Linked DNA regions of Ovis aries. The protein of the gene in region 6 purifies or fractionates together with the protein of the main gene of each other region. This does not show direct contact. Links are inferred from orthologs where the notes say so. Each region holds a gene or a part of one and is shown on either strand. Other genes may lie near its edges. The genes, in order: ANAPC7, MAD2L1, CDH1, TTK, ANAPC11, CDC27 and NEK2.

Region 1 (3,500 bases), on a different chromosome or scaffold from region 6:
AAATTAAACTATTTTTTATTTGGCCTCAGATTTTTCATTTTAGGCTATGTTGAAATGCAAAAAAAAAAAAAAAAAAAAAGGTACTTAAAGGAAAACTCCAGTAGTGGTGTCAATACTTGAAAAAAATAAAAGAATTAAATTTAAAATCCTTTCTTGACTGCTTGTTATTAATGAACTATGACTGACGGGCCTTCTATCTCAACAAATATTAAAAATTCCCTTTAAACTACCTGACACTTTGAATTTTGAGAACTACACCTAGTTAGAAAGTCAATTCCTTTTAAAAATAGATCCTTACTTGGGGACATCATTTAAGTTGCATTCCACCAGTTATAAATATAAGCAGTCATCATTTTCTAAAAACTGAGTGACAAATTGTTTCTTGGTATGTTTCTCTTAAAAGCTGAAGATTTTCCACGACATGATAATCTCACACTGGAATTTTCCTTTAAAATGTGAAGAATGTGTGGCGGTGTTTACCATACATTAACAGACGTTCATTTAGACGTATTTTGACTCACTTCCTTGTCCTTTACACAGACTGAGAAGCCAGTTAACTCCCTAACGGACAAGAAAGAAAAACTGTAAATATTATAGGTTTATGTTGGAGGCACACATCTTTGTTTGCTCCTGGCTACAACAGCTCTATGAAGGATATGTACTCCTAATGTATGTGGACTCCTCTAGCTCTTCCTAAAATGACAGCTGTAAACACCAAAGTGTTGGATACCACAAGGCTCACGTGCTTGGCCATTACTCATTTTTAAAAATGCCCCCAAACTCCCTCAAGTCATTAAGAAGAAATTATGGAATGTTTCCAATAAGATAAGGAATAGGTATCCTTCAAAGCTTACAATCAAAGCAGCATTTTCCAAACGAAGACACCCTTCATATATACAAAAAAATTACTCTTAGGGTAAGACTTTCATAGCGTACCAGAATATAATTAAGTATACAGTGTCCAGCTTATTGTGAGATAGGTTAGTCTATAATATACTTACAAATGTTTTAAATAACAATTATCACCATAAAATATGAAGAAATAGCTTAATTTTTAAAATTCAGAAAATATTAAATAAATCTTCAACATGAGAAGATGCTTAAACATGTTCTCATCAAGTGTGATTACTTTTAAAACTCAGTAACACTTGGGTGAAAAAACACTAAATACACCTGGTCCCTACTGCTTATAATTCCTTTTCTTTTAATGGCAGGGAAGATGTGCAAAAGTTCCTATCGTTAACTACACTGCACAGTTTTTCAATGAAGAGAGGAAGGTAGGTGACATGAAAGTATGTGTTAGAATATTAAATAATGATGTGACTTCACTCCAAAGAGCTAAGATTTTCATTGTTCTTCTAAACTGGACTTCAAGAAAACCTGTATTCAGATGCCTAATACTCCTTATAGAATAATACTTTAAAAAGTATTCTCACATACATGAACTTAGTTTATACCAGAGAAAGTATTATCATCCTCAACAAGGAAAAAAGTAAAGCCAGATTTTTAACTTGCCCAAGCTCACCACACACTGCCTGTATGCCCTAAACGCAAAGGCAAGAGACTAGATCTTCTGATCTCAGTTGGAGGTGTGCTATATACTATTGTTGCCAAATAAAACACAAATAATATCCTACACACAAACACGTACAAAGAATCTTGAAGTTTTAATTCTGAAAATAAAAGGAATACACATTATCAAATGGGCATACCTACGGAATGCAAAAAATGAGATTCTTAAAAAGTACTGTTGCTACCTGGAAATATATTCAAATCATGTTTCCTACAATAAGAAAAACAAAATAATTAAACACACGTTGTACTCTCCAGCTACCATTTTCCTCGGCAGCATTTTCAGGGTCTTATAAGAAAGCCACTCCTCTCTCTAAATAAGGAGAACAGGGGAACAAAGTGGGAATAAGAGACAAGGTTTGTAAAATGTTCAGATGTAGTCCCTGAAAACACAGAGGAAGACAGCTGGAAGGACAGGGGAAGAGAAAAGTATGTAACCAAATTGTTAATTCAACTTACTTTGGGAGTTCTTTGTCTTGAAGGGATCCCATCAAGTATAGCAATGGCATCTTTATCTTGTTTTAGCATTGTATAACATTCAGCCATTTTGTATTTTACTTCAATTTCAGATGGAAGACACTTAAGAGGAAATGAAAACATCTCTTCAAAATATTACTTCAGAAGTATGGCAGTTCTTCAAAATGTTAAACATGATTACCATATGACCCAGTAATTCTGCTTCTGTGTACACAAGCCAAGAAAACTGAAAACCTATGTCCACACAAAAACCTGCACACAAATGTTCACAGCATCATTAATGATAAAAAGCAGAAACAACACAAATGCCCACCAACTAATGAACAGTTAAAATATGGCACATCCACACGATGGAATATTATTCTGCAACAAAAAGGAATACACAACTGCTTCTTTATTATGTGCCATAATATGGATCAACCTTGAAAACATACTAAGTAAAAGCAGCCAGCCACAAAAGGCCACACACTGCATGATTCCATATATAAAAGGTCCAGAATAGGTGAACCCACAGAGGCAGAAAGGTCAGTGATTTCCAGGGACTAGAGAGATAACAAGGCTTTTCTAGAGGGATGTAAACCTTCTGGAATTAGTGGTGGTGGTTGCACAATTCTGTGAAAATACTAAAACCCCTGAACTGTGAAAATTATGTTGTAAACTGTATCTCAATTTTTAAAAAACTCCTTCAAGATTAAATAAGCATAGGGCTTAGCATACTGAATGCCCCCCAAAAGTTACTTCTATGAATTATTCTGTGTGGATAATACACATGACTTCAGGGTCAGAAAACAACTCCTGGCAATCAGCTCTTTAGTAACAAAGAACAAAGGCTCTACATAAAGAGAAATAAAACAAGAAAAAAATGTACAGGCACTAAAAAAAAAAGCAATTATATTACTCTGTCTTTTTTTTTAGTGGAAAAATACAGAACATGATTTATAATTTCACTTCAGTTCATTCTGATATTCCTTTTAAATGTAAATTGTATGTACAATTTAAAGACAGGTTCAAACTGAAAGTCAAGGTTCCCCCCCTCTATAAAGTTTTGTTAATTTTCTTCACACACATATGCTAAATTTTCCATGTATATTACCCATATATATTTTAGGCATATAGCAGGATGTATGTCTATAAACTATCCCCTTCAGGGAATTCTCTGGCAGTCCAGTGGTTAGGACTCCGCACTTTCACGGCCAAGAGGGCCAGGGTGGGTTCAGGTTCAACCCCTGGTTGGGGAACCAAGATCCCACAAGTAGCAAAGTGTGGCCAAAAAAATAACTATCACCTTTAAACAGAAAGAGTAAACACACTGCTTAAAAGCTTATTTACTAATATATACAGGCCTTTCCAAATCAGCGCATACAATGCTATATTTCACTTCCTCAATATCCCATCCTAGGGCTACACTATAACTAGATCCTACTGATAAACACTTTTGCTTGTAGTTTCTT
Region 2 (3,223 bases), on a different chromosome or scaffold from region 6:
AAACTGAATTTAGGATCATCTCCATTTCAGTTCTCTTTCCTCTTGGTGACTGGATCAACCATCCGACTACTGATATAAATCAGAAACTTGGGAGCTATCCCTGATTCATTCCTCTTCCTTACCCTGAGGTAATCCAATAAGTCTTAACAGTTTTAACCATGAAATCTCTTGAATCTGTCTACTGCTTCATCTCTACCAGTGTATCTTCTCCAAGTCTTTATTAGCTCTTGTTGGAGTTATGCATGAATTAGTGCCCTAGATCCCCTGTTTACTTCCAGTTTACGGGAAGTTTTGTTGTTTCAGCTAGCTTCATTTTCAGATTACATCATTGCGTTTTCATTAACTTCAGAGCTAAGCCACCCATAGTCATTCATACGGCTGCACTCAGATTGTTTGGTATGAAACCTCTAGGCAACTGTGGATGTTGCCTAGAGGCCAAGAAGGATAGTTTTCCAATACAACTTGAATCACATCATATGCTGCTTGAAACACAGTAATGACCACTTTAGTTCTTAAGAGTGTCACATCTTTAATTTGGTGCTCATGACCTCGTGTGGTCTGGCCCATTTATCTTGTCAGACCAGCCTTGTCCATCCTCCCTTTCTTAAACTGCAGTTGTATTGGCCTCCTTTCAGTCCTCTGATCCAGTGCTCTGTTTTGTGTCTAAGACCTATACCTTTAGCAGGGAGATCCCACATGCCACAACTAAGACCTCACACCGCCAAAATAAATCCATCATTTCATATTTTAAAACCTATACCCTCTTTCCTGTTTTGCATACATATACGGTTGTCTCTTAGAACAAAACTCAAACCCCCGAGTCAGAATTTCCTATTCTGTGCTTTAATTGTAGTATATGTTGCACCATCATAGGTAACCGCTATTATGTCATAGGAAACTGCACCATCATAGCAGTTAGAGCAGTTATAATTTCACATTTATTGTTGTGATTTGATTAATGACATCTCCTTCACCCTTCCCTTGGATTACGATGGAAGTACCTCGTGTTCACTGTCTTAGCACCCAGTGCTATACCTGGCACAAACACTGAGAATCTGAAATCGGGAGCTAGGCCATTGATGGGGCAAATTTTCTGCACAATTTGGAGGAGAACGAAAGTAGCAGTGGGAGAAGTTTGCTGAGGATACGAAGTTGGTCTTGAGAGGAGAGTTGCTTTGTAATGCAGTGAACTAAAAAAGATGCCTTGTTTTGTATATTGCAGAATGGTTATACAAGTGTTCAGTTCAGAAACTGGTGGTAGTCATCTCAAATATTGAAAGTGGAGAGGTCCTTGAAAGATGGCAGTTTGATATTGAGTGTGACAAGACTGCAAAAGATGACAGGTAAGTAGAAATTACTTCCATTTTCGTATGTTTTTAAATTTATGTTCTTTCCCAAATGAGTTCTAATTATATGGAACAAGTTTCATATAAAGTACAATTTTTTTCTAGGATGTTTATTTTTTTAATATAAATTTATTTAATTGGAGGTAATTACTTTATTGTATTGGTTTTGCCATACATCAACATGAATCCGCCATGGGTATACGCATGTACCCCATCCTGAACCCCTATCCCACCTCCCTCCCCGTACCATCCCTCTGGGTCATCCCAGTGCACCAGCCCCCAGCATCCTGTATCATGCATCAAACCTGGACTGGCGATTCATTTCACATATGATATTATACATGTTTCAATGCCATTCTCCCAAATCATCCCACCCTCGCCCTCTCCCACAGAGTCCAAAAGACTGTTCTATACATCTGTGTCTCTTTTGCTATCTCACGTACAGGGTTATCAATACCATCTTTCTAAATTCCATATATATGTGTTAGTATACTGTATTAGCGTTTTCTTTCTGGCTTACTTCACTCTGTATAATAGGCTCCAGTTTCATCCACCTCATTAGAACTGATTCAAATGTATTCTTTTTAATGGCTAGGATGTTTAATTTGATCCTTAGTCTTCTGTGGCAAAGAATAGTTCACTGTCTTATGTAGATAATGTACTTTTAACATAATTGCCTATGGTGTAAATTGGTGAATTTCACCCTTCAGTGTTTATGGTAGTATGTACCTGGTGGTCCGTTTAGTGAATTGTTTAAAGGTACTTCTAACCATCAGGGATTTTCCTAGATTCCCCAAGCCTAAGATTCAGCTCTATTGTATTTCATTGAATGCCCCAAATTTTCTAAGACACTTCATAAAAAAGTTTCCAGAGCACCTGAATGGGAAATGCTCATATGATCATGTCTAGCATTGTCCTAGGCTTGCTTACTGGTAAATTCAGAATCATTTTTCATAATGAAATGTAGTTTGCTTCTGAAGCCTTTGGGTTTTTTAAGGAAATTTTTAGCTTATAAGAATAATTTGATATTTAATTTAATATCTTTTTTGAGGCAGTAGGGAATTAAGCATTAGGAAAAATGCACCAACAAAATATTTTAGGTACTATAATTTTCATTTTTTGAAAGGTACTGTAGTTTTCCTAACTTTAAGCACTTGGCCAGTTTTCTGATTATCTGATACCAAATGACCTGATTTTAAGACCACCCCTAGAAAATGACTGGAATGATAAATAATAAAATGCATATGCCTCTTGTGGTATATAGGCCCTAATGATATAACTTACCAAAAAAAAACACTCCATTTTAATGTATTACTTATTTGATCTTGGAGACATTTAATCAGTCTTACCAATGTTTTAAATAATTTATTAACACTTAAATTGATTTGGTTTCAATAGTGCACCCAGAGAAAAGTCTCAGAAAGCTATCCAAGATGAAATCCGTTCAGTGATCAGACAGATCACAGCTACAGTAACATTTCTGCCACTGTTGGAAGTTTCTTGTAAGTATTATACAACTTCACATTGACTTTAAATTTGTCAGGGAAAAGACTAAGCTACTATTTTAAGAATTAGCCCTTTATTAAATGCCAGGGTCCAGCCCTGGTGGATCCAGGGTGATTCAAAGGTGGGGATGGAGTCGGCGTCCTTGGAAAAATACATATTTAATTACAGATATATAGAGAGATTAGAAACGGATAGTGTAGTAGGAAGATTAGTGGAGAAAAAGAGGCTGAATAACTTGGATTACGTGGAATAGCATCCATGCTCCAGATGGGAATTCAGCCAGAAAAATGAGGAGCAAGAAAGAACAACATGGGGGAATCAGTCTTTCTGGAAACTGATCGGATTTTTTTATTTTTGGGTTTGCTTATATA
Region 3 (3,500 bases), on a different chromosome or scaffold from region 6:
ACAGGAGAACCTGGGAAAAACTAGGGGCTGTTTTTGTTAGGAATAAAGTTGGAGAGAGTCTCGAGGTATCAGACATGATCTTAGACCCAAGATGTCAACCTATTCTTGGGATTAAAAGTCCCTGACATAAAGGCAGACGGGCTTCCTTGCTGGCTCAGTGGTAAAGAATCTGCCTGCCAGTGCAGGAGACATAGGTTCAGTTTCTGGGTCAGGAAGATCCCCTGGTGGTGGAAATGACAACCCACTCCAGTATTCTTGTCTGGGAAATCCCATGGATAGAGGAACCTGGCAGACTACAGTCCATGGGGTTGCAAAGAGTCAGACACAACTTAGCTACTAAACAACAATGATGACATAAAGGCAGAGGATGGTGATGATGTTGGAGAACAAAAATCATTTCTGGGCCTTGAGAGCAGTGTGAGCTCAGGGACGTTGGGAGGTAATGCCTTGATGCCAAATGCAGAAAGGTCTTGGGGAAACCCTAGACTCAAGTGTCCAGAGTAGATCTGACCCTGCTTGGAGTAAGTCAGAGAGTCTCAGGTTTCCACCTTTATCTCCTAGCCCTGGTCCTCAGCCCCCATGTGGGCAATGGGGCCTTTGACCTGGTAGGTGTGTTCTCCAGCCCATGCGTCTTCCCATGTTGTAGTCTTAACCAGTGCCATGACCTCACTGAAGCAGCAGCATGTGTGTGGGATAAGCTCTGTGCTGGGGAGTCCTTACTTGAGTGGAAGGGAGTGGGGCCCAGTGGAGCCCACACTGCTCTGGTCGGACCCCTTCTCCCATGTCCTCTTCCCGAGTAACCCTCACTTGGCTCTTGCAGCTCTTCTCTCATGCCGTATCTTCCAATGGACAAGCCATTGAAGAGCCTATGGAGATCGTGATCACAGTGACCGACCAGAATGACAACAAGCCCCAGTTCACCCAGGAGGTCTTCAAGGGGTCTGTCCTGGAAGGCGCTCTTCCAGGTGTGTCCAGCCACGAGGAGCTCAACACCCACCAAGACAATTTAGATTCTTTGGACCGCCCCCCTTCCCCAAGTGTTGGGGCTGGCATTTGGGGTCAGGCCTTTCATAGGCGCAGAACTTCTTTGGAAGATAGTGTGTGTGTGTAAAATATCCTCCTGACAGAAACATGTAGAAAATGTCCAAGAGCAGTTTAAGGAAGGAGCAATTTGGACTTGCCTGGTGGTCCAGTGGCTAAGACTCCATACTCCAGAGATCCCACATGCCACAGCTAAGACTTGGGGCAGCTAAATAAATAAACAAATACAGAGCAGTTTAAGAATAGCCTTCCCTGATTAAGAAATAGATCCTTGGGGACTTCCCTGGTAGTCCAGTGGTTTAGACTCCACACTTCCAATGCAGGGAGTGTGAGTTCAAACCTTGGTTGGGGAACTAAAGATTCCCCATGCTGCGCAGCCAAGAAAAGTTAACAGATCTTGTTAAGAGTTTACGGCCCCTGTACAGTCCCTTCCTGATCACATTTTTCTCTCTGTCCCCTAAAGGCAGCCACTACCCTGACCTTTATAGGCTTCCCTTGTGACTCAGCTGGTAAAGAATCCGCCTGCAACGCAGGAGACCTGTGTTGGGAAGATCCCTTGGAGAAGGGAAAGGCTACCCACTCTAGTATTCTGGCCTGGAGAAGTCCATAGACTGTTCAGTCCATGGGGTCACAAAGAGTCAGACATAACTGAGCAACTTTCACTCTGACTTTTGTGATAATCATTCCCTTACTTTCATTCATCTTCTGATGTGTGTACTTAATGCTGGGTAACACCTTGTGAGTTTTGCTTACTTTTCTACACGGTGACAAACAGTTTTCTAAGGTGGTTGAACCAATTTACACTCCTACCAGCAATATACCTCATGGAATTGTAAGACTTCTTTTTGGCCAGTCTGTTGAGTATATGATTATATATCAGTGTAATGTAAAATGGCATTTCTATGATTATTAATGGAGTAAAGAAGCATCATATGTTTGCTGACCATTTGGGTTTCTTTACAACTTAAATGTTCAAGTCTTTTGCCCTTTTTTTTTTCTCTTGGGCTTTTTGTCTTTCGTCTATTGGTTCTCTCCTTCTCCCCACCCTCTGCCACCCCTCCCCACCCCACTGTTCGGTTTTGGGACTTTTACTTCCCCAACCAGAGATTCAACCTAGGCCCTTGGAAGTGAGAGCACACAGTCCTAACCACTGGACAACTAGAGAATTCCCTGCCTATTGATTCTTAAAGAGTTATTTGTCATGAACGTTATCAATATTTCCTTCCACCTTGAAGGCAGTGATCTTAGATGACCATTCTCTCAGGCGGAAATGTGGCTAGGAAGCGAATTGTGGCAATTTCTGGGGTTTTTCCTCTCTTATGCACTATTCATTTAGTGTATGAGACAGAGCAAAAATGTTTCAGTTGAACCAGGTGGGTTCTGGGAACACCATTCATTCATTTGGTAGAATGCTTTCTTCCTCCACTAAGCACTTTGGTCAGAATTTTGGAAACGAATCTTCTTTGCTTCCAGGAACCTCTGTGATGCAGGTCACAGCCACAGATATAGATGATGACGTGAACACCCACAATGCTGCCATCGGTTACAAAATCCTAGCCCAAGAGCCCATGCTGCCACACAACAAAATGTTCACCATCAACAAGGAAACAGGCGTCATCAGTGTGCTCACCACCGGGCTGGACCGTGAGGTCAGGGGTCAGGAGGATCCAGAGGGTGTGGAGGGCAAATAATGTTAACTCCATTTCCTGGATGATGTAAAACTCTGCCAAGGCTGGTCACCATTTAGCATGGTGATGGTCTGAACTTTGCATCTCAGAGTTTGTCTAGAGATTTGAGGCCAGGCAGGCAGGTGGAGTTATTGGTATTTAAGCAGATGAAAAAGTAATCTGTTTCTCTGCTGGGAGCTGGGTGGGATCTGATGTAGCTGTGGGTCCTGACTCGGCTGTGTTCGATCTCTGCAGAGTTTTCCCACATACACCCTGATGGTCCAAGCAGCAGACCTTAATGGCGAAGGCTTGAGCACAACTGCAACGGCCGTGATCACAGTCCTGGACACCAATGATAATGCTCCCAGATTCGACCCGACCACGGTAACCCTGCCCCTTCTTAGACAGTCTCCAAAGAAAGGTCCTTGGTTGTTTCCCAGTATCTCAGGGGTGAACCCTTAGGTAACTTTTCCCAGACCATTCAACTTCAAGCTAAAGAACAAGCAAGTTGAGGTGCCAGTTGTCTGTCATCGTCAGCCTGATGCCTGTTGGCCTAGGTTTCTGAAGCTGCAAAATGCACCTCCTGAATCCATGTCCTCATATTGGGCATCTTAGTAGCAGATCTTACCAGGTTTTATCTATTGAATAAATATCCTCTGGGTTTATACCAGGCACTGTCTTAGACACTGGGCATATTATCACAAACACAGCAGACCATCATTCTGTTCTCATGGAGCTTAGAGTCTAGCTAGGGAGACATTAGACAACTAATAATTGTGTGTAATTTTAGTA
Region 4 (3,500 bases), on a different chromosome or scaffold from region 6:
GGGTAGATGAGTCCTTATTTAAAATCCTTAGCTTGCTCAAAACTGAATATGTAACACGTTGATAAGTGGGATATAAGACATTATAATACTGAGTAAGGTTAAACCTTGTTTCTAGATGAGAGGAATTTACCTATTTACCATGCTGCATTGTAATGCATGTTTAGCTCAAATGACTACTGACATAATAGAGACAGGAAGTTTTGAATAGAGAGAGCACAGTGCATGAGAAATAATAAGACTTTTTTAGAAAACTTGAAGACAAATTTGTTAGGGAAGTGATGGGAAATGAAACTGGAAAGTGAAGTTAAGATCAGAACAGATTATGGGTAAAAACAAAGTTCTGAATCTGTTATGTTTTAGTAAAAAGCAAAAGCAGTAATTTTGTTTGTAAAAGGAAATATTTAGCCCTTATTGAAGGTAACAAACTAATAGAAGGGATGATAGTTTCTCTTAAAAATCTAAATTTAATAATGTTTAGTAATGACTAAAGTGACCTGACAAGGACACTGACATTAAATCATGTTGTCTTTTAAAATCTATTAACACCAAAGAAAATTAAAAGTAAATTACAATGTGAAAATTACGGAGAAATGTGGGAAACTTGGAAGGAGAAGAAAATGACCATAGGAGCTGCTTATCTTCTGTAAACTGGTTTTGTTTGATTGATTGAAAAGTGAATTGAGGAGTATGGAGATAATATTGGGTGGATAAGGTTGTAAAGAAGGTTATGTTAGGGCTAGGACCATACAGTTTCTAACTTTTTAATGAGTCATTGATGAAGAATTTTCCAGGAAAGTTGGTACTGGTGGTGGTAGGAGAGGCTAAGGTTTTCTTTGACTTGGTAGGATGCTAAAGTAAAGTTAGGCTGCTACAGGATAGTTTTCTGAGACTGCATATGGTATTTTAAAGCTACTTATAAACATTTCCAAATTCTCTTTTCTTCAAAATATGCAGCTTTTTACAGTAAAACATACCTTCTTAAAAGATATATATGCAGTAAATAAGTTGTTTACATTTACATGAATTGTTAAAGTTTTAAAAAATATTTTAAGGAGTTTGTGTGCATTCGTACTGAGAGTATAAATGATTACCTGTAATTTGAAAGAAAAGTGCAATTTGGCATTTGTTTTTTGACTTTCTTTTTTTGCTATATTTTGTCCCTTATTCAGATAACTCAGGAACTGTTAACCAAATAATGATGATGGCAAACAACCCAGAGGATTGGTTGAATTTGTTGCTCAAACTGGAGAAAAACAGTGTCCCTTTAAATGATGCCCTTTTAAACAAATTGATTGGTCATTACAACCAAGCAATTGAAGCACTTCCTCCAGATAAATATGGCCAAAATGAGAGTTTTGCTAGGATTCAAGTGAGATTTGCTGAACTAAAAGCGTAAGTATTAGCATTTTAATTGTATTCAGCCAACTACATTACATAACACATAACTACATCACCCAAAGGTAAAATGAAAACATGTTGTCAGAACTATTGTAAGAAGTTTAATATTTTTTTTACCAAGTCTTTTTGTTTATAATTAACAAGTGAATTTGTAAACTTTCTTTACAATGTACATATTTCCACAAAAATTACATACTCTAGACTCCACCTAAAATTTTTTTTTAATTAACTTTTAATTTAATTTTACAGACAGAAAACAATATTCTGTGTCTTCTGGGAAATAGGATGAAGAGTTATCAAACAGGCAACTGTGTTTTTTTTCCTTAAAACTTAACTCTGAAATCTTTATTTCAGTATTCAAGAGCCAGATGATGCACGTGACTACTTCCAAATGGCCAGAGCAAACTGCAAGAAATTTGCTTTCGTGCATATATCTTTTGCACAGTTTGAACTATCACAAGGTAATCTGAAAATGTCAAGTCCAGATATTAAGTAAAAGATAACTTCCTATTGTAACTTAAATCATGTGTGTGAAATAGAAATAATGAGGCAAAAGGCATGAAAGTTGGTCAGATGAAAATTCAGGGAAGGATGCTACGTAAGTGTACGAAATATTTGTTATACTAGCCCTTTCACTTGCACATTACACAAGTTAAACTGTTTAACATGAATTGTTACCAGAAGTGAGAAATTGCTTGTTTGCTTATAAATAAAATGTGTGAGACTTGGAATAAATATTTTTGCCTGAGACTTTAAAATTTTTTTCCTAGGTTCTGAAGAATATGTATCTGGGGAGTAAAGGTTGCTGAATTAAAATGACGTATTTTTTACTTTGTTAGGTAATTTCAAAAAAAGTAAGCAACTTCTTCATAAAGCTGTGGAATGTGGAGCAGTGCCACTTGAAATGCTGGAAATTGCCATTCGGAATTTAAATCTTCAGAAAAAGCAGCTGCTTTCAGAGGAGGAAAGGAAGAGTTTATCTGGTAAATGTGTTTGTGTGTGCTAATACTTTTCTGTGGTGTTTAGTCCTACAAAAAAAGGGATTCAGGATAATATTTTATAGAAAAATATTGTTTATTTAGAATGATCAAAATCTAAGGTTAAGTTTTAGATGTAAAGGCGGTAAGACTTGCAGAAGTAACAAAGTCATTACTCTCTTAATGGCATTTTTTTTTCCCTAGTTAAACTCTAATTAGTAACACCTTAAAACAAGTCAGTAAAAACAGTAAGGTCCTGGGACTCCCCTGGTGGTCTGGAGATTGAGACTTCTGCTTCCACTGCAGGGATACAGGTTCAATCCCTGGTAGGGGAACTAGGATCCCATATGCCACAAAGCATGGCCAAAAAATAAATAAATTAAAATTGACATCTACAAAAAAAAAAATACACTTTAAAACAATAAGGTCCTAATGTATAGCACAGGGAATTTTATTCAATATCTGCAATAAATAGTAATGGAAAAGAATATGAAAAGGTGTATATATATATATATGTATATGTATGTGTAATTTAATTACTTTGCTGTACACCAGAAACTGACACAACACTGTAAATCAACTGTATTTCAATTAAGAAAACAAACAGGGACTCCCCTGGTGGTCCAGTGGTTAAGAATCTGCCCAGTAGCGCAGGGGACCCAGGTTCCATCCCTGGTTAGGGAGTTAAGATCCCACATACTGTGGGGCAGTTAAGCCTGTGAGCTTCAAGTACTGAGCCCTGGGTTCTCTGGAGCCCGCGCACCGCAAGGGAAGATCTTGCATGACGCAGTGAGGATCCCGCGTGCTGTAATGAAGACCCAAGGCAGCCAAATAAATAGCAACCAAACAAACTTGATCTAGGCAAGCGAGCGAATCACATTTTGCTGTTAGAAATAAGGAATGTGCCTTTACTCTGGGTAAACAATTATGTAATTATGAAACAATTATGAAGTATCATTGGAGAATTAGCATTACAGCATCTTCATATCTGAATATCTTATTTAGGGACAAATATTTACTATGAGTTGACTGTTAAAGTATTATGTATGAGATTTTTTTGTGTGTGTGTATTCCTTATGTCTTTACAAATTTAATTACAGTTTCAAAATGTTTACAGCATCTACA
Region 5 (2,763 bases), about 4.5 Mb from region 6:
AGAGGATCCCGACGCTTAGCATGAGTCACTGTCAGCATGGAAGGTGGTGTCAGATTCCCCACTAATGGACGTGATGGCTAGGGTACCCCTGCCAGCAGGCTAGTTGGCCCCTGCGCATCCTCTTGCATCCTCTGTTTGCAAGGGCTCTAATGTGTTAGGCGTGATTCCAAGTGTCGTTCTGCTGAGGTGGGAAAGACCCTGGGTGGGGGTGGGGTGGGGGTGGGAACCAAGAGAAATCAGGTGTCACACCCTGTGGGCTCCTGGCACAGGGCCGTCCACCTCACCCCCCCACCCTGGCCTGGGAAGCAGAGTGAGCTAGATAGTTTTGTATTTGCCAAGTAAATTGTTTTTTGGTTTTGTCATAAAAGATTCAGAAAAGGAGTGATGTTTTGTTTTAGAGAGGATTACTTTTAAAAGATTGGGGGTTTGGTGGGGAGAAAAGATCCATGTATATGTATAACTGAGTCCCTTCACTGTTCACCTGAAATTATCACAGTGTTGTTAATCGGCTATACCCCAATACAAAATAAAAAGTTAAAAAAAAAAAAGATTGAGAAACACTGCCCCAAACAAGAGAGTAAGAAGATGGCAGTGCCCATCTGTCTGACTCCATAGGGTGAATGTACCACTGTGGGGCAAGGGCTGCTCCCAAACTGGGAAGGAGGTGCAGGTTTTCAGCAGCCTTTGAAGGATATTTAAGACCTGGCACCCACACCAGCTTCCTGGTTGGCATGCTCCCTTCAGGCAGTGGCGGCTGCCCTCGTGAGTCACGTGGCCTCCTGTCTGTCCCTGGGATGTCGGTGGGTGATAGAGACTGTGGAGCACTGTGAGGTTTGGACAAACGCTCAGGTCAGTTTTCCAGCTCCCTGTGCAGCTCAGAGCAGGTGCTCCATTAGGTCTTGAGAGCACTGTGGCTTCACCGTGGTGTTATCTTTTAACACATTGTACAGTCACCTGTCCCTGTGTCTGGTGTCAAGAGAGAAGACCAGGACCACAGGTGACCAGGCCAGCACTTAGGAACTACTTCGTGGACAAGATGTCTCCTGTTTACCCCAGCTTATCTGGCTGGTGCACTGTGTGCCCTAGTGACTTCTGGATTTGGCTCACGATTGATAGGCATGAGGGGCCCCATGGCAATGCTTTAGGGGAATGGCCCCCCTAGAGGGTGGCGGCAGCAAGCTGCAGCTCCCACTGCTCATGGGGACCTACCTGCTGGGGGAGGACATTGTGCTCTGGCAGCACCAGCTGCGTGATGGGGTTTTCTAGATTCTTAAAAATCAGACTTGTTTCTCTTGATGCCAGGCCCTCTTCACAGTGGTAGCACGTGCAGGTGGGCTGGAGGGCCAGCACCAGGTTCTCTGGGCCGCAAGTAGGATAGAAATGGGGAGGAAACGGGAGGCAGTGCCACTTCACTCCCAGCGGCCGATGGGCTGGGCCATAAGCCCCTGTGTCCCCGACCTGCTCCCTGGTACTGAACTGGGTCCCTACTGCCTGGGGATGGTGACATCTAGTTTCTAAGGCCCTGGCTCACCTCACCTTGAAGAGGAATGGTTTGCCGCTCAGAGGCGGGTCACCTGTGCAGGCGCCCTGACACACTGATGTAACCTTCTTGGCATCACGGGTGCCAAATGGCAGAGCTGCGGTGTGTCTGCAGATGGGCCCAGGCCCTGGGAGGCCAGTGGGCGGGGGTTCAGGCCCGGCCAGAGCTCTTCGTGCTGCTGAGCTCCCACATGGAGGCGGGAGCAGCCCGGGTGGTCTTTGCAGAGGTTCATGTAGAGGCGGCTGCTTGGCCGAGTCTGTGGTTTCCTTCCAGATTCCTGTCCTCTCTGAGCCCTGAGGCCACCCTGGGCATGCTTCCTCCATCGGACTTGTCCTGTGCTCTCGGCGACTCACAGGTCCTCTCGTCCCTCGCGCAGGCAAGGTGCCGGGTGACGACTGCCCGCTGGTGTGGGGCCAGTGCTCACACTGCTTCCACATGCACTGCATCCTCAAGTGGCTGAACGCGCAGCAGGTGCAGCAGCACTGCCCCATGTGCCGCCAGGAGTGGAAGTTCAAGGAGTGAGGCCGTCCGCACTGCCCGATGCCCCTGCCCTCACCCTGAGATGGCCTCACCCCCGCAGTGGCTCTGGGTGGCTGTCTCCTCCATGGGGACAGTCTCCTCTGGCCTCTGACAGGGTTGAAATGAGGACTGGAACTGCGTTTGTTTTCTCCCATCACAACGTTGACATTTTATCAAATAAATAAAACTCATTAAACCACCTAAGCCTGGCCGGAGGCTGCAGTTGCTTGTTTTCTTGGTGCTGAGGCAGCCAGTACGCATACTGCTGTGTGCGCCAGTATGAAAACTCATGAATAAACATCCCAATGTGATGCCGAGAGGCCCTGAGTCACACCCCTGGAGAAGACTGAACCAGGGATCAGCCAGAGGAGCCAGGGTGGGAGGAGTGGGCTCGGGCTGGAAGAGCCTGGTGGGGCCCCTCTCTTCAGGGTGGTCGCTGGGACCCTGGCTGGACACAGCTAGCAGGCACTGCCATGCTTCCTCCCTCTGGAAAGCTGTCCCCAAGTAGGTGCTGGCTGTGTTAAGAGGGCTTTGTCGAGGCAGCTGTGATCGGTGGCCTCAGTCCCTTTCTCCCAGCTCCTTGTCAGGGCCAAAATGTCCTTGACATCAGGACATGTGTCCGCAGGTGTCTGAGGGTCTCCCCATCTAGGGAAGTCAGCCCTTGGGACATCCTTCAGGCACCTCTGCTCCACCTCAGCCCCCCT
Region 6 (3,997 bases):
TTAAAAATCAATTTCATCAGGTGGATTTTATACACATTCAAATTAGCACTGATTCAAGTCACTTAGGCTAGCAATTATTCCTTCCCAAATAGTTATTTTAAAAATTAAATAAATGACAGAATTTCTGCCTCATAATAGGAGAGATTTTTGAAGACTCAAAGTAATACTTTTTTATAAGAGATAATTTGGAAGAAGTGCTTATATTTAGGCTTACATGGTATATCAAACTGAGTATTCCATGTTTAAGCTTTAAAAAAAAAGAAAAACTCAGTTGCTCATCTTTTCTCTCAACTTTTTTCTATGCCTAATAACAATGGCACCCCACTCCAGTACTCTTGCCTGGAAAATCCTATGGATGGAAGAGCCTGGTGGGCTGCAGTCCACGGGGTCACTAAGAGTCGGACACAATTGAGCGACTTCACTTTCACTTTTCACTTTCATGCTTTGGAGAAGGAAATGGCAACCCACTCCAGTGTTGCCTGGAGAATCTCAGGGACGGCGGAGCCTGGCGGGCTGCCGTCTATGGGGTCGCACAGAGTCGGACACGACTGAAGCAACTTAACAGCAGCAGCAGCAGCAACAACACTTCAAACCCTGAGACAACCCTCAAAAGGACACACCTTTCCAACTTACTCTCATTCCTCTACAAATACAAGCAATCACTTATTATAGTTTAAAAAGCCAGTGTTGATTGTTCTCCTATTGCTCTAGATCCCTTCTTGAATGGCTTCTTATACTAAAAATTAGAACCAAAATTCTCACCTAATTATATCCTAAAACTTATTACCACTGTCAGTGGCTTGTGTGTGGGGAGTAGACAAATTTGACTCTTGAGCCCTAAAAATATCTAAATGCATTACTGCTAAGAGTACTTTAATGAAAAACAGAAAACTTGATGTGTTTATCACAGAAGGAATATCTTTATCAAGGAATTGGCTACATATTTATCTCCATGCTTTTATGCAAATTAGGTGGCTCTGGTTATAAAGAACCCGCCTGTCAATGCCAGAGATGTAAGAGACACAGGGTTGATTCCTGGATGGGGAAGATCCCCTGGAGGAGGGCATGGCAACCCACTCCAGTATTCTTGCCTGGAGAATCCCATGGACAGAGAAGCCTGGCAGGCTACAGTCTACAGGGTCGCAGAGAGTCAGACACGACTGAAGTGACTTGCCACAGATGCACAGGCTATCCATAAAACTAGTTTATCATCTTAGAAGCCATATCTATAAGGCAAAGGTATCATTAATTGTTAAGACAAAATAACAAAAACATGAAACAGAAATTAAACAACTTGAGTAATCTGCTTATCCATTTTAGAAGGTATAGATAGCAACTTACAATTTCACCTTAGGTCTCAAAAAAAAAAAATTAAAAAGGGACTCTTTACTAGTAAATTTGGATGGAAAGAAACAGCTTTGAAAGCACCAGTATAATGTACAAACAGAACTGTTGGTACAATTCTGTACAGAAGACAGAATCCCACATTACACTAATTAAAAAATTAATAGCTGCTACATGTAAACAGCTAAAGAAAGAGCCAACTAGGAGTAACTGGTATTTCATCCTGTGATGAAAAAAATTAAAGAAATATGGAAGGAGTGATGTAGTAAAATATTTTACTATTTGATATCACAGGTCTTTAAGAGTAACATGAAGCAATTTCTAAAATCGGTTTGCTTTCAAAATAAAGTGCATGACTCAATGACATCAGCTGATAGAGGTCAACTCTTCTAATCAAGTCAAAGATCATATGATAGGGTAAAAAGTCTCCCAGACCTGGTCCATCACCAAGGGACAAAAGATTTAGTTTCTTCAGATGGCAGGAGGGGGAAATGACTTGGCACCGCATCACACCCTTAAAATCCAATAGGGTTTTCTTACATGCCAACAGAGCACTGTGCGTCAAAGCAAACCTTGGTGTAGTATGGATGGAAAAATCATGATTTGTCTTTCATTTCCTGAACGCCTTATAAACATGCACAGTAAAACACTCCTGATCCCCATCACAGGTCATGGAAAAAACCGATTTGCTGTTTCCAACCCCTCCCCTTGTATAGGTGCTTGCGCCTCTGCACTGGGCCTTGGGGTTCTCTTCGCAGATCATTGTCCGGAGGGAAACTGAGTGAACGAGGAAAGGCAACGTGGGCTAGACAGTTTGTCAGCAAAACAGAAATCAGTATTAAAAACACCGATCCTACCCTCCCTCCACTTTCTCCTAGAAAACAAAAACAAAACCAACACTCGCCCCGCAAACTTGCCCCACCATTATGAAGATCGTACAGGCGCTGATCAAATGTGCGTCCCAACCATCCTTGGGCAAGAGAGCACCTGGGGCGAGTTTTCGGCCCCTCATCGCTCACCCGGGCCCGGGCCCAGCCCCTGGGCTGACAGGAGGGGCTCGCCCGACATTGGCCCGGAGGGAAAAGGAGGGATTATCGCCGAACTCCACTCACACCCGGGGAAGAAGTAACGCAGGGCCAGAGGGAACGCTGCTGAGGCTGCGGGCAAGGCCTCGGAACTGACGAGAAGACTGGCAGGAGCCGGCGTCAGGTGAAGCGGGAGAAGCAGCAGGGCCTAGGCCGCACCAGGCCGCGAAGTGGCCATACGCCGCTTCCCGACCGAGGCTGCGAGCCAAGCCTCAGGGAAGAGGGTTACCATTACCTGGACGGGTTCCTGCAGCACCGTCATCCTGGAGGTTCAGGCCCACTTTCTGCAGTGCCTCAGGCCCCCCCCGTAGCGACTCCGGCCCGGCCAGCCCCGGCTCATTTAAACTCACCAGCGACCGTTACCGGGGGATGGGGGAGGCCGAGCGAGAGCCGAGTACCTCCGAGCGGGACACGGAAAAACCCGAAGTGGAGAGACGCGCGCGGGAGCCAGACGGAAAGGCCCGAAGGAGACCGGAAATACCCGAGGTGAATCGGCGGAGGAGAACACCGTTGCCGGAAGTTGTCGAGGAGTACCGGAGACGACCGAGCGTGATCCAAAGCGTATGTTCCTCTTCTCGATCACGCCTTCACTCACGCACGCCACGCCCCGTCGGCCCTTGGGCAGGGGCACGCCCAATCGGTAACCAATAGGCTGGGCGTGGCGTGCTGGAGTCGGCCGGGAGCGTTACGTGGCCAGGCTTCAATCTTGATTCGCCGTTCAAGCTTGCTGGATTAATTGGTGCGGGATTAAGCAGAGGGTTAAACTCAAGAGTTTGGGGCTGATTTTAATTAATTAAGAGATGTCTGTCGGTTAAGTTTATGTCATTTATCCATTCCTGAACTCTTATTCATGGCTCAAAGGGAAATAGGAAATTGGAAAGACTTCCCTTTCACTTTTCACTTTTATCATTGGAGAAGGAAATGGCAACCCACTCCAGTGTTCTTGCCTGGAGAATCCCAGGGACGGGGGAGCCTAATGGACTGCCGTCTATGGGGTCGCACAGAGTCGGACACGACTGAAGCGACTTAGCAGCAGCAGCAGCAGCCACTATTTAAAGATTCAATTTGACCCCTCTCCTCAGATTACGGTCTGTTTAACGGAAAAGTAATGTAACAAAGAATGTTATATTATGTGATACCCATTATAAGTGATGTAAAAATCCAGAAGAGAGGAAAGGGAAATTAGCGTTAAGATGAGAAAGTCTCTGAGAGAGAGACTTTATTTTGGGGGGGCTCCAAATCACTGCAGATGGTGATTGCAGCCATGAAATTAAAAGATGCTTGCTCCTTGGAAGAAAAGCTATAACCAACCTAGATAGCATATTGAAAAGCAGAGACATTACTTTGCCAACAAAGGTCCATTTTATCAAAGCTATGGTTTTTCCAGTGGTCATGTATGGATGTGAGAGTTGGACCACAAAGAGAGTTGAGCCTGGAAGAATTGATGCTTTTGAACAGTGCTGTTGGAGAAGACTACTGAGAGTCCCTTGGACTGCAAGGAGATCTAACCAGTCCAACCTAAAGGAAATCAGTCCTGAATATTCATTGGAACAACTGATGCTAAAGCT
Region 7 (4,296 bases), on a different chromosome or scaffold from region 6:
AATCATCTAAGGAGTCTGCTAAAATACAGAGTCCAAAATAAAAAGGTAGGGGACAAAAAGATAAAAAGTTGAGTGCAAAGACCAGTCCAGAGGTCCTAAGTCCCTGGACTGGAGCCCAGGACTCTGCATTTTAAACTATCACTCCAGCTGAGAACAAGCTGGTGTCCAGGACCTATGGCACTTTGGAAGTACTGTACTTAAGGGCAGAGACAAAACCTATTTCATCTCTATGATCCCCAAGCTTAGCACGTGGCAGCCATTCAGTGAAAGTCTGACTTGCATTGCTGATATAGAAGTTTAGCGGTCTGGTGGTGGGACTTCCCTGGGGGTCCAGTGGTTAAGACTTCGCCTTCCAATGCAGGGAGTGCAGGTTTGCTCCCTGGTAGGGGAGCTAAGATCCCACATGCCTTGTGGCCAAAAAAACAAAGCATAAACAACAGAAGCAATACTGTAACACATTCAATAAAGACTTTAAAAATGGTCCACATCAAAACAAAAAATAATAATAATCTTTTAGTGGTCTGACGGTCCATTTGAAAATTATCAATTTAAAATAAAACAGTATTATTAATTCTTGGCTATTAGATATTACTAAACAAAGAAATAAATTTCCTTGCTTGAATGCTTAGCATTAAGATGTTTTAAAAGTATATACATTTTGAAATACTTACAGGAGACATGTAATAAGGTGTGCCAACAAATGTTTTCGCAAAACTTGTATCATGGTTTAATATTCTAGCTAGCCCAAAGTCTCCAAGCTTAACGTTCTGCTTGCCATCCAGAAAGACATTGGCTGGTTTCAGATCCCGATGCAGCACAGTGTGGCCGCCATCACTTCGTCTGTGACATTCCTTTAGGGCCAGAGTCAACTGAGCCATCACACGAAGAACAAACTCTTCATCCAAGTATTGTCTGAAATCAAAGCAGTTATGTAGCATGTATCTGCTGAATGAAACCATTACAAAGATGACAGGATGTGAATTATCTAGTTTTCTAAGTATACACATAGGGAAATAAATTATTTGGATATGAAATTCAAGTGTTGACTTACCAGGGATTTTCTAAAGTACTGTGGACCCACTGAACAAACACAAGACGACTCTTCCCCATTACTAAGTACTTTGTCCCTGATCCTAATATAGGATGTTTCCAGAAACAAAACTAGGCCCATTTAAGAGATGAATTTATCTTACCTTTCCTTGGTTCCCTTTGAAATCACACCAGCCAGGTCTCCTCCTTCGCAGCATTCCATGACAATGTACAGGGTCGTGTTGGTCCGGTCAATAATTCTATCATAGTAGCGGACAATGTTTGGATGTTTCAGCTCCCGAAGCAAATTCACTTCAGAAACAAGCATTTGTTTCTCAGTTTCTGTCATGGAGCCATAGTCAAGTTCTTTCCAAACTAATATCTGAAATAAAAATTTCCAAGGTATAAATGAACTCATTATAACTCCAAATTTTTCAAATTAAAAAAAAAAGTTACTTATCTAGTAAACAGATCATACAGTCACTATTTATCTAATTTAGTTTAATGAGCTGAGGACCCCTGAGTTTATTTCCATAACCTTCCCCTAATTTTTAAGCAGTGAATGATGCAACAGAGGGTGACGAGGGAGGTTAGGCCGCCCCCAACCCTCTGCCCTCAATGCCTAGTGGGAGGTTGGCAGAAGGTACTCTAATCAAAGCTGGAGCAAAGGCGATTGAAGTCCCCAACCATTCCAACTAGTCAAAATTTCTAGGGTAAGAGAACTTAGTAAAGACCCTTCCATCTGAGCTAACTTCCTTTCCATTATTTTTCTGTGTGGGTCTACCCACACACCTTGGGAGATATGAATCTAACAATGGGAATAATGAGTTGGTGATGGACAGGGAGGCCTGGCTAGCTGCGATTCATGGAGTCGCAAAGAGTCGGACACGACTGAGCGACTGAACTGAACTGAACTAAATGAATTCTGACTACAAGACATAAAAGTTCTAGGTTCTGATGGTTATGATAGAGAATTACATTTCTCTAAAAACAGCTCAGGAGTCAGCTACCAGTCACCAACAGAAGGCCCATGGCAGGTCAAAGCAGAAAAAAGGAAGAAAATGGAAGAGAATGGAAAAAAGACAGGAGAAGAAGAAATATACATATATATATACATACATTCTACTTGGCACATTTTATTAGTTTTACTTTGGCCACGTGATAAGAGCTGACACTGGAAAAGACTCTGATGCTGGGAAAGACTGAGGGCAGGAGGAGAAGAGGACGACAGAGGACGAGATGGTTGGAAGGCATCACCGACTCAATGGACATGAACTTGGGCAAACTCCGGGAGCTGGTGAAAGACAGGGAAGCCTGGCGTGCTGCAGTCCACAAGGTTGTAGAGTCGGACACGACTGAGCGACAGAACAACAACAACAAAGAATTAAGGCACAGATTCACAAATTTAAAAAAAAAAAAAAAAAAGGATGCGGCTTCCCATCCCTCGAGAGACCCAGGACAGACACAGATCTGGGGGAGAAGGCTGGCTCTTCTGAGCACCCTGCTTTTCAGATGCACACCGCCAGGCTCCCTGCTTCCTCTGGGCGGCCTGGGGGCGGAGGCAGGGACCAGGCCCGCGCTCACCTTGCCGTCGCTCTTCCTGCGGATCTTCTGGCAGCGGCCGTAGGAGCCGGTGCCAATGGTGTACAGCACCTCGTAGTCCTCCACCCGAGTCGGCATGGCGGGGCCCGCGCAGGACGTCTGCGGGCCGTATAGTCTCCTCAGAGCTCCAGCCCCGACGCTCGGCCGCCCTGATCTGCAGCCCCGGTTTAACCGTCGCGGGCCCCGACCTCGCAGCCTATTGGCTCGCGGTGAGGCCGCTTCGCCTCTCTAATTGGTTAAGAAGAACACAACACGCTGGGCATCTTGGGAAAAAGGTATCGCTAGGCAACCGCGTCGGCGTCTGTGTCGACTTCCGCTGCCAACCTCCAGGGAGAAAGGGGCGGAGCTAAAGCCCAAGGTGGGCTGGGGACCGAAAGCTGCAGCGAGTGGGCGGTCCCCGCCACCTTGTGCCTCCTCCGCTGAGGTTGCCGAGGCAACCTAAGTCCAGAGATCTTTCTTCAGTTATTAGCGCACAGCCTCAACCGACTGCCTTCTGACCTTTGCACTGTGACCTCTCACTCTCCGGCACGCGCCCTCCGCTCTCAGATTCCCGCCCCCTGAACCCGGGCGGGGTCATATACTAAATCCTGGGAGAAAAGCTGAGTGCAGAGGTGAAAAGTACCGGCCCTCTGTAAAGGGTGCGCGAGTGAGGCCGACAGTGCTGAGGGATTGTGCCAAGCACTTTACATGTATTGTCTGGTTTGTAATACAGGAATTAGCGTTATTTCCCATGAAGAAACGGAAGGGTAGAAAGGTCACAGTATTTGCTTTAGGTCCAAAAGCGAGGACTCAATGCAAAAACAGTGGATATTTATAGTAATGATTTAAAGTTTTCACATGACTTTAGGGTGCAGCCGTCCTAGAGAGAGTATATTTTTGAACACCAGACGTGTACAAAATCTCTAGGTGGAAAATGGAATATGGAAGTCCTTGATGTTTTGAAATACCCAGAAGAATATGGTGGTTCTATAAGATAGAGATGGGCTTACCTGGTAGCTCGGTGGTAAAACAATGTGCCTGCCAATGCAGGAGATGCGGGTTTGATCCCTGGGTGGGGAAGATCCCCTGGAGAAGGAACTGGCAGCCCACAATATTCTTGTCTGGGAAATCTTAGGGACAGAGGGGCCTGGTGGGCTACAGTCCGTGGGGTCACAAAGGAGTTGGACACAGCTTAGTGACTAAACAACAATGTAAGGCAGAGACAGTCAGGTTTACCTTTAAGACTTAAAATTTGTTGTTGTTGTTAGAAAAGACTACCTTTGCACTCTGAATAGATTATCTGAGGTGCCAGGCACATAAATAATTGAAACACTTTGTTGAATGCAGCCTCTTGGAGTGTGCACAAAAACCAACATTTTCAACTCACCCTGCCAGCTGGAATTGTCCCACTTTTACCTGGGATACTGCACCTGGAGCCTTCTATCTAAGGGGTGGATGGAGGAATTTATACACTACAAGAAGGCTAATACTTTGGCAATGCACAAATAGGTCAATTTTCTTTAAATATCTGTTTAGCATGGGATTAAAAGGAAACTGATTTTCTATTAATAAGAATTACAATCCTCTTTATGTTAAAAATGAGGAATTCATTACATGTACTGAATATTACATGATCGGAATTGCCAGCCAGATTTTTTTAAAGTAATATTCAAGAGCGTTGCGTTA

Evidence for each region.
Region 1: the proteins of CDC27 (region 6) and ANAPC7 purify together in Homo sapiens (affinity purification with western blotting; 23 studies listed by BioGRID and IntAct, with this or other methods). This does not show direct contact. The link is inferred for Ovis aries from reciprocal best matches to the Homo sapiens genes CDC27 and ANAPC7.
Region 2: the proteins of CDC27 (region 6) and MAD2L1 purify together in Homo sapiens (affinity purification with western blotting; 29 studies listed by BioGRID and IntAct, with this or other methods). This does not show direct contact. The link is inferred for Ovis aries from reciprocal best matches to the Homo sapiens genes CDC27 and MAD2L1.
Region 3: the proteins of CDC27 (region 6) and CDH1 purify together in Homo sapiens (affinity purification with western blotting; 4 studies listed by BioGRID and IntAct, with this or other methods). This does not show direct contact. The link is inferred for Ovis aries from reciprocal best matches to the Homo sapiens genes CDC27 and CDH1.
Region 4: the proteins of CDC27 (region 6) and TTK purify together in Homo sapiens (affinity purification with western blotting; 3 studies listed by BioGRID). This does not show direct contact. The link is inferred for Ovis aries from reciprocal best matches to the Homo sapiens genes CDC27 and TTK.
Region 5: the proteins of CDC27 (region 6) and ANAPC11 purify together in Homo sapiens (affinity purification with mass spectrometry; 8 studies listed by BioGRID, with this or other methods). This does not show direct contact. The link is inferred for Ovis aries from reciprocal best matches to the Homo sapiens genes CDC27 and ANAPC11.
Region 7: the proteins of CDC27 (region 6) and NEK2 purify together in Homo sapiens (affinity purification with mass spectrometry; 6 studies listed by BioGRID and IntAct, with this or other methods). This does not show direct contact. The link is inferred for Ovis aries from reciprocal best matches to the Homo sapiens genes CDC27 and NEK2.

Annotation. Positions count from the first base shown.
Region 1 is NC_056070.1:54,330,491-54,333,990, forward strand, and holds part of ANAPC7 (anaphase-promoting complex subunit 7), read right to left. Parts: intron 2,152-3,500; coding exon 2,032-2,151; intron 562-2,031; coding exon of another isoform or gene 522-561; intron 458-521; exon of another isoform or gene 299-457; intron 1-298. UniProt on the Homo sapiens protein: Component of the anaphase promoting complex/cyclosome (APC/C), a cell cycle-regulated E3 ubiquitin ligase that controls progression through mitosis and the G1 phase of the cell cycle.
Region 2 is NC_056059.1:5,759,206-5,762,428, forward strand, and holds part of MAD2L1 (mitotic spindle assembly checkpoint protein MAD2A), read left to right. Parts: intron 1-1,222; coding exon 1,223-1,343; intron 1,344-2,744; coding exon 2,745-2,848; intron 2,849-3,223. UniProt on the Homo sapiens protein: Component of the spindle-assembly checkpoint that prevents the onset of anaphase until all chromosomes are properly aligned at the metaphase plate.
Region 3 is NC_056067.1:35,666,031-35,669,530, forward strand, and holds part of CDH1 (cadherin-1), read left to right. Parts: intron 1-820; coding exon 821-965; intron 966-2,514; coding exon 2,515-2,690; intron 2,691-2,963; coding exon 2,964-3,092; intron 3,093-3,500.
Region 4 is NC_056061.1:6,999,848-7,003,347, forward strand, and holds part of TTK (dual specificity protein kinase TTK), read left to right. Parts: intron 1-1,169; coding exon 1,170-1,392; intron 1,393-1,752; coding exon 1,753-1,859; intron 1,860-2,237; coding exon 2,238-2,381; intron 2,382-3,492; coding exon 3,493-3,500.
Region 5 is NC_056064.1:50,493,498-50,496,260, reverse strand, and holds the end of ANAPC11 (anaphase-promoting complex subunit 11), read left to right. Parts: exon of another isoform or gene 1-1,916; coding exon 1,917-2,062; 3' UTR 2,063-2,263; downstream 2,264-2,763. UniProt on the Homo sapiens protein: Together with the cullin protein ANAPC2, constitutes the catalytic component of the anaphase promoting complex/cyclosome (APC/C), a cell cycle-regulated E3 ubiquitin ligase that controls progression through mitosis and the G1 phase of the cell cycle.
Region 6 is NC_056064.1:45,985,436-45,989,432, forward strand, and holds the start of CDC27 (cell division cycle protein 27 homolog), read right to left. Parts: upstream 2,801-3,997; 5' UTR 2,692-2,800; coding exon 2,665-2,691; intron 1-2,664. UniProt on the Homo sapiens protein: Component of the anaphase promoting complex/cyclosome (APC/C), a cell cycle-regulated E3 ubiquitin ligase that controls progression through mitosis and the G1 phase of the cell cycle.
Region 7 is NC_056065.1:71,252,223-71,256,518, reverse strand, and holds the start of NEK2 (serine/threonine-protein kinase Nek2), read right to left. Parts: upstream 2,801-4,296; 5' UTR 2,710-2,800; coding exon 2,614-2,709; intron 1,412-2,613; coding exon 1,194-1,411; intron 913-1,193; coding exon 672-912; intron 1-671. UniProt on the Homo sapiens protein: Protein kinase which is involved in the control of centrosome separation and bipolar spindle formation in mitotic cells and chromatin condensation in meiotic cells.